Coturnix japonica: one gene and its partner. The protein of the gene in region 1 binds, or shares a complex with, the protein of each later gene. Links are inferred from orthologs where the notes say so. Each region holds a gene or a part of one and is shown in the gene's direction. Other genes may lie near its edges. The genes, in order: GTF2E2 and POLR2D.

Evidence for each region.
Region 2: GTF2E2 (region 1) and POLR2D share a complex: the UniProt entries of both Homo sapiens proteins name them as parts of the TBP-based Pol II pre-initiation complex. The link is inferred for Coturnix japonica from reciprocal best matches to the Homo sapiens genes GTF2E2 and POLR2D.

The regions. Positions count from the first base shown.
Region 1 is NC_029519.1:30,644,599-30,648,412, forward strand, and holds part of GTF2E2 (transcription initiation factor IIE subunit beta), read left to right. Parts: intron 1-197; coding exon 198-289; intron 290-831; coding exon 832-939; intron 940-2,134; coding exon 2,135-2,317; intron 2,318-2,761; coding exon 2,762-2,855; intron 2,856-3,814. UniProt on the Homo sapiens protein: Recruits TFIIH to the initiation complex and stimulates the RNA polymerase II C-terminal domain kinase and DNA-dependent ATPase activities of TFIIH. Both TFIIH and TFIIE are required for promoter clearance by RNA polymerase.
Region 2 is NC_029524.1:1,664,256-1,668,333, forward strand, and holds POLR2D (DNA-directed RNA polymerase II subunit RPB4), read left to right. Parts: upstream 1-1,582; 5' UTR 1,583-1,637; coding exon 1,638-1,710; intron 1,711-1,782; coding exon 1,783-1,963; intron 1,964-2,195; coding exon 2,196-2,291; intron 2,292-3,239; coding exon 3,240-3,318; 3' UTR 3,319-3,425; downstream 3,426-4,078. UniProt on the Homo sapiens protein: Core component of RNA polymerase II (Pol II), a DNA-dependent RNA polymerase which synthesizes mRNA precursors and many functional non-coding RNAs using the four ribonucleoside triphosphates as substrates.

The DNA.
Region 1 (3,814 bases):
AGCTCATGTCCTAGTATCTGTATGGATACAGAGTCGTGCTCAGAAGCATTCTGGAGCCAGCAGGTAGCTGCATGTCTGTATCCCCATCCTTATATCGCAGACCCCTCTAGAATGACTGCTCCTGAAATGTTTCTGTTGTTGGCTGTAGAAGTAGTTGTTGAAAGCGTTGTTTATGTGTTTATTTTCTCCTTTTGTAGATCACAGCAATGGCTCGTTTAATTTGAAAGCCCTTTCAGGAAGCTCTGGCTACAAGTTTGGAGTCCTTGCAAAAATAGTGAATTACATGAAGGTATGGTGGTTTCATGTAAAAGTATAATGCTTGGAAATGCTTTATTTTTTCTCTGTGATAGTAAGATGATGCTGAATGTTTCAGACTTTGAGATTTATTTACTGCACAAGACCAAGAATTTCAAGAAACTGGGCTGTTAAAATGTAAAATGCTGTGAGTAAACAAAAGGCCCATTATGTTGCTTCATCACTGGAATCCCAGTTATTCCAGGTCTGCTTAAAAAAAGGAGACTGGTTTTGTTTGCATTAGAACTTGGAATTTGAAGATGCTATCAGCTTTTAGGATTCATGAGCTGTTTATCAAAATAACTTGTAACTTGGTGCTTGACAGATAATTTTGTCATTTATCTCAGCTGATACAAACTGATTTTTCTCACATCTTTAGAGGCCCGAAGTTGGTACTCATATGCTCCGTGTGCTGTGTCTCTTGGTTTCACAGAAATTACTGTGTCATCACCTTCTGCCAGTTTTTTGTTACCCTGTGGTAATTGAGCTGCTGAATAAAGAACTACAGATCACTGATAGATCCTCTTTGTTTTCCAGACTCGGCACCAGCGTGGTGATACGCATCCATTAACTCTAGAAGAGATTTTGGATGAAACACAGCATTTAGATATTGGACTCAAACAGAAGCAGTGGTTAATGAATGAGGTAAAGAAAAGCTTTTGATTGGACACTGGAGGATAGTGATAAACTTGAACTGTATATGTTTATTTAATTACAGACTCTATAAATATTGAAGTTCTGCTTTTGAGAAGTTGCATTGATTCATGATTTGTCTTGTGCCTCCTGCTATTGAAATAACTGAAATGAAAGCTATTCTGACGTTTTTAAAGGGTCAATTAGAATTGCTGTTAGTAGAGCAAAGAGTAAGTTGTAATTGAGGTGAACTTCTTATTGCTAATCTTATACATGCAAACTGTTGTTTTTTTTAAAAGAAATTTCTTCTAAACAGAGTTCAAGCAGAAAGCCCTATCACTATCAAAGATTTCAAATTACTTAAGTGAAAGCCTTAAAACTCATACTCTCAGATCTTTGTTGTTTACTGAATTGAAGAATTCTGTTGTGAAATCTGTGTCTGGAATTGTGGGGTAATAGATCTCAAAGTTCCCCTGCTGGAGTTCATCAGTTTCATGATTTATGTTAGGTTTCATTCTTGCAGAGTCACTGCAACTTCCTGCTGTGTTCATCTTCGTGCTTAATTGATCCAAATGCCATCATGGCATTTCAAGACTAGTAAATCAACAAAACCCTGTATTTAGTATTTATACTTCAGCAATATCTGGTTTTGCTGATATTATACTTAGAATCCTTGCAACAAAGTAGTAAAGGTTGTTGATACATGCAGGGGGGTGGAGAAATCTCTGTAGTAAAACTAGGATGTTTTAAGTTATGTTTTTAATTAATACTAATATTCTGGAGAACAGAAAACTGGCAATGCTGCTATCATGAAAACTTGGCTCCACTGAAAGCTTTGAAGAGTAGCTCTAGGTTGTTTCCATAACAAATTAGAATATTGAGACTGAACCAAAAAGCTTATATAAGATTATCACTGCGTCAGTAATCCGTGATGGTACCGCGTGCACAGAAAAACTGATTTGGATCAGATCTTAAGTCGTTTCAATTGTCCATGAGACATCTTCACTCTGAAGCAGCACCATGAGAATGTTGTGCTGTATGTTGCAGTGAGTTATGCCCAGGCTGGATCTCAGATCCAAGGATTTAAAATTTGTTTCAAATTCAAACCTCCGAACTGTCAGCTATAACACATGGCTGACATACTGTAGCTATTGAAGTACTAGTTTGTTCTCTCTTTCAAGGTTTAAAATGTATATTTCTATTACAGGCTCTAGTCAATAATCCAAAAATAGAAGTTATAGATGGGAAGTTTGCTTTCAAACCCAAGTACAACCTGAAAGATAAAAAGGCTCTGCTCAGGCTCCTGGACAAGCATGACCAGCAAGGGCTGGGAGGAATCTTTTTAGAAGAAATAGAGGAAGGGCTGCCCAATGCACATAAAGCTATAAAGGTGAGTCACTCTTGTCTGGGCTTCAGCAAAACTCTTGGATAGGTTCTCAAAGGAGAGGTAAAAGCTAAGAGAGAATTTTCTGAGTTCTTTTTGTTCTTGTGGTGACTCAGAAGATCTGATTTAGTACCTTTTTCTGTACGTCGGCCTTTATGTTTAGAATTGACCTGACAGCACAGCTGTCAAAGCTTTCTTACAAAAGGTGCTTTATCTACTATGTTGCAACTGAAGGCACTTAATTGTGCTTTCATATCTTGATCTCAGCCCTCTATATCTTGTCTTTGCTTTATTAATGCATTTATTGATGGTGTCCACTTTGGTTGCATTTTGTTGCTTGTTATTTTGCTGCTCTCTGATTCATTGATCTCTTTGTAGAACAGGATCTGGGTCTGTTATTCTTAAAATAGAACTGATTTGGGGTCCTTTTTTTTTGCATTTGTTTTAAAGGCTTTAGGGGACCAAATTCTCTTTGTTACCCGCCCTGATAAGAGGCAACTTCTTTACTACAATGACAAGAGCTGTCATTTCTCTGTGGACGATGGTAAGTGTTTATTTACATCTGCATCCATGGTTTAAATTCAGCTTAGACAGCTGAATGTGAAGATAACAGGACTAGCAAACGAGTTCAGGGATAATAACCTCTGTTTTCTACTGAATGCATTGGTACATGGCACCAGGAACCCTACAATTCAAGTGTAGCTGAACAGAAAAGACTAAGAGTTGTCCATCTGTGGCTTAGATGACATCGAATATTTTGCTGCAGAAAAGCAGATGAAGAACAGTGGAATTTCTTTTGGGTTTGTGTGCTGCTTTTTGTCCCAATTTATTAGTCATGTACTTTTGTTGGTGAATGCAATGAGGAACCAGGAATTGAAGAAAAGGAACAAGCAGACTGGGAGGAGATGTGAGCAAAAGTACTGGGAAGAGTTGGTTTACGACTGGGAGGGCACCCTGAGTGTGGGCTGGTGCTGCTGTCTAGAGCTGGGAGTGGAACTCCAGAGCTTCAGCCTGTATTTTTTATCTTACAAATAGTGGTAAAGTCCTCTGACGTGAGTGTGCCTGTTGGCTGAAAGCAGCAAGAGGACAGGTTATACAATAATATATGTATTTACAGAAATTAGTTACGCCTGTCAGGGTGTGTTGCAATGATGACATCAGAGCCAATATCAGATATCTGTAAGTACAGAAGGGAGAATGCATTCCCTGGTAACAGACCTTATTTTAAATGGCTCAGGGACGCTGAATACTTCATGTTGATCACTTGTTGTTCCGTAACATGCCACATGAAGCCATATTCCAAAGCGTCACATGATAGTAAAAGAAGGAAAAAGTTGTCATCAGACCTTAAACAGCTGTATGTGCAAGGCCATAGAACAAAACGTAAAGCTCTTTTGTCTTAGAATAACTCAGAGGAACTCTTTATTTTAAACAGAATCAAGCAGCTTCTTTGTTCCATACCAGCCTTGGATTCTCATTTACTTAATAGCTTATTTCTGCAAA
Region 2 (4,078 bases), on another chromosome or scaffold:
AAAAATGTTGCTGACAACAAGAAGAGATTAAGGTCTCAGTGTTCTGATCTTATTACCTTCAGTCAAAACCTGCTTTCTAAATAAAAGTCAGTCTGTGGCACGCCCACTAGGTAGATAATTACTGCGACAAAGCTCCAGAGCTGCTGGAAGGAAAGACATTACAAAATTCAGCAATGCTGATAATGGAATGTATTTATTACATGTTCCTATGTTTTACTATACAGATGTTTAGCTAAAGGGGTTTTGTTTTTGTTGTTTGTGTGTGTGTGTGTGTGTGTGTGTAATAGCTGTTTTTTTGCACTCAAGTTGCTAGTGGGTCTGTTTTCAGAGGGAAGGAAGGAATTGCTGTAGAGTATCTATTTAATAAACCACTGATGTCCCAACCAACACTTTCTGCCCTGGACTATGCAACAGAAGCTCATGTCTAAAACCTGAGACTGAAACCAAGCACAGCAGTGACAGGGAGCTGTTAGCCACCACCACCGCCTCCTTGGCTGTACCTTTATGCTCTTGTAGGTATGTGGCTTTCCCCGAATCCTTTCAGTTTTCATGTACTTAAGTAGGAGAGATCACTGGGGAACAACAGATGTTAAATTTGTAACCAAGACTGCAAGCTACCTACTGCTTGAAGATCAGGATGTTCTGAGGTGAAAGGGTATGTGAGAAGCTGTTGGGATTCCAAATGATTTTAAAAGGCTTCTCTCATCAATCTGGCATGTGGATGTGGCCCTGGACAGCCTCATCTAGTATTAGATATGGAGGTTGGTGGCCCTGCCTGTGGTGGTGGGGGGGGGAGGGGTTGGAGCTTTATGATCCTTGAGGTCCATTCCAACCCAAGCCAGCCTATGATTCTATGATTTCCTTGTTTTCTTGTAAACGTAATTGAAATAGCCTCATTCACTAGATGTTCTATTTCCACACTATCTTCCTGAGTGTCTTTCTGTTTGTACCACTCAGCTAATTCGTTTTTAGTTCGCTTCTCTGCCACGCTCGTCTGGAGTTAACAAACATTAAGGAGCTCAGATCTGATCCTGCAGCTCCTGGTGGAGCTCACCCACCTGCAGGGTGCAGGAAGCACAGCAGCCGGCACAGATGTGCGTTAGGAGAGCAGGAGTGGCCTCACAGTGAATCCTCCAGCCATTTATTTCTGCATTTCTTTAAGGGCATGGGGTGACATTGTGCAGCCTAAGATGATTACTGTAAGTCTTAAGCTGGTTGGGCACTTTCATGTGTGTTCCCAAGGGAAAGTACTACTACAAACACTACTTTGCTAGCAGTGCCAGGACGAACCCACTCATTTCCAGCCTGCCTGAAGCTTTAAGCTGTCTATGGATTATTCCTGAGTAGGCCAAAGAAGGGAACCTTACTTCTATTGTGTTCTGCTATTGCCATCCATGCTCCTCCCACACACACCTCCATGTATTTACCACACTGCACCAGAAGTAATGCTGCTGTGGGTTGTTTCCTGGAGCCATCACTCGCTGCGTTCCCTCAGAGGCATCAAGATGGAGGCGCTGGGTGCTCACAGCGCCGTGCAGCGCAGCTGGAGCCACCTGAGGCGCCGCTCCCTCTGCTGGGCGCCGGGCACTCACAGCGCTGCGCTTCCGGGCGCCATGTCTTCCAGTTCCGGGTGAGCAATGGCGGCGGGCGGCAGCGACCCGCGCACTGCGGATGTGGAGGAGGACGCCTCGCAGCTCGTCTTCCCCAAAGGTGCGCGGCGACACCTCGTGCTGTTGTTTGGATCCGTGTTTTAAACACTGACGTTTGCTTGTTCCAACGTAGAATTCGAAACGGCAGAAACCCTGCTGAACTCAGAGGTCCATATGCTTCTGGAGCATCGCAAGCAGCAGAACGAGAGCGCGGAGGATGAGCAGGAGCTGTCCGAAGTCTTCATGAAAACCCTGAATTACACAGCGCGGTTCAGCCGCTTCAAGAACAGGGAGACCATCGCCAGCGTCCGCAGGTGGGTGCGAGGCTTTGGGCTGTGATACGTAACATCAGCCTTGTTCGATGGAGCTGAGATTTACTGACGTTTCCTGGGCTTCCCACAGCTGTGTCTGTCTTTTTACCTATCCACTGTTGTAATGTTTCTTCCTTCATAAACTTGGATGCAGTGTCAAAAAGCAGAGTTGTGTGCTGTCTGCTTGCCTTGATGCTGCTTTGCTTATCTGTCTTGTTGTTGGCTTTCCTCACAGCTTGCTGCTCCAGAAGAAGCTCCATAAGTTTGAACTGGCGTGTTTAGCCAATTTATGCCCTGAGACTGCTGAGGAAGCCAAAGCTTTGATTCCCAGGTGAGCATTTATATACCTAAAAGGAGTGTGGTGTACTGCCCTGTGATGTAAAGCTGCCCATGGACAGATGCCTCCTCCATAATCCAGCTCTGCTGATGGGAAAACCTTCCATCTCAGTTTTTCTTCACTTACCCATTGATCTGACAGTGAAGCAATCTAAATATCCCTAACGCACTTTAGATAACATTTACTGGATTAAGAGTGATGGAATCGTGGAGTTGGAAGGAACCATTAAAGGCCATTTGCTCCAACTCCCCTGCAGTGAACAGGGACACCCACAGCTGGGTCAGGTTGCTCAGAGCCTGGCCTTGGATGTCTCCAGAAGTGGGGATTCCAGCACATCTCTGGGCAGTGGCTTAGACTGGGGCTGTCAGCCCAGCCAGCTGCGTTTGTTGGTTGTTGTTGGAGCAAACAGCAGTGTCCCTCTGAACCGCTGGGTGGACAATGTGCAGATGGGGCAGGGAGATCTTCCAGTGTCGTCTCATCATTTGTTACCTCGTACCCTGAGATAGAGGAGGAATGAGACACTCATCTGAAGTACAGCTTTCCCCTTGTATGCTAAGATTTCATAGAATCTTCTAAGTTGTACAAACGTTTGTTGAATACCTCCACAAAAGGCAACCAGCACTTCCCTGCTCAGCCTGTTCCAACACCTCACCACCCCTTCTGTGAAGAAATTCTTTCTAATTGAAACCTCCATTGGTACAACTTGAGGTATTTTGCTCACATTCTTCATAGCAAATCTGGACTGGCTTATGAGCATGAGGCCTGCACCCGGGTTGACCTTTTGGTACAATGACTTGAAATCATTCCACACTGAGCTGTGGGAAGGTTGGAGTTCTGTCACATAAACAGGAGGCTCTGCATGGGTGTGAAATGAATTCAGAGGGGAACAGGGGAGGCTGTTCCTACGAGCTTTAATGTACCCACCTTGTTCTTACCTTGCAGCCTCGAGGGCCGGTTTGAAGATGAGGAATTACAGCAGATTCTTGACGATATTCAGACCAAACGCAGCTTCCAGTACTGAAGCTGAGCACCAAAAGCTGCCCTGATACGCTCAGTTGTTTTGTATTATTCCCCTTAGCGTAAATTAAAAAAGATGTTTCTAAGATATTAAAAGATATTTCTAATTAAGCTTCTGTGTTCTGTCATATTTATGAAGATCTCTGCAATACACTGATTGTACTGGGACAAGGTGGACGCTCTGAGGGCTGCGCGGCTTCCGATTGCGCATGCGCAGGCTGTGGAGCGGCCTCCCTGCCGCTCAGCGTCTTATCGTGGTGCGCATGCGCCGCCCCTGGCGCTGGTGGGGGCAGGAAGATGGCGGCCGGCCGCGGCGGGGGATCGTGAGGCGGCGTCGGCGGCTTCCGGGGCCGAAGAGCCGAGCCGAGCCGAGCGGCGGGGCCGCGAGGGCGCGGTGGGAGACGCCGGCTGGACGGTGAGCTCGGCTGGGTGCGGTGTGAGGCGGGAGTGGGGCTCGGAGAGCGCGGTTCGCTCCGCCATTTTTAGGCCTTGGCCCTGGAGGGAGGCCGAGCTCAGGCCGAGCTCAGGTTGGAGCGGGGCGGGATCGCGGCGCTTCGGGCCCGGCCTTGTCCGCGGGGTGAGGGATGTGGGCTGTGAGCGCCGTGTTGTGGTGGGGCAGCGCTGCGCCGTGCGCGGCTGCTGGGGCCTGAGTAGAGCGTCTGTCCCGCTCCCAGTTCGTGCTGTTCCTCCTTGGGCCTGCGGGGTGCCGGCCTGGCACTGCTCGGAGGTGGGTGCGGGGCTTTGCGGGCAGGTACAGCCACGTG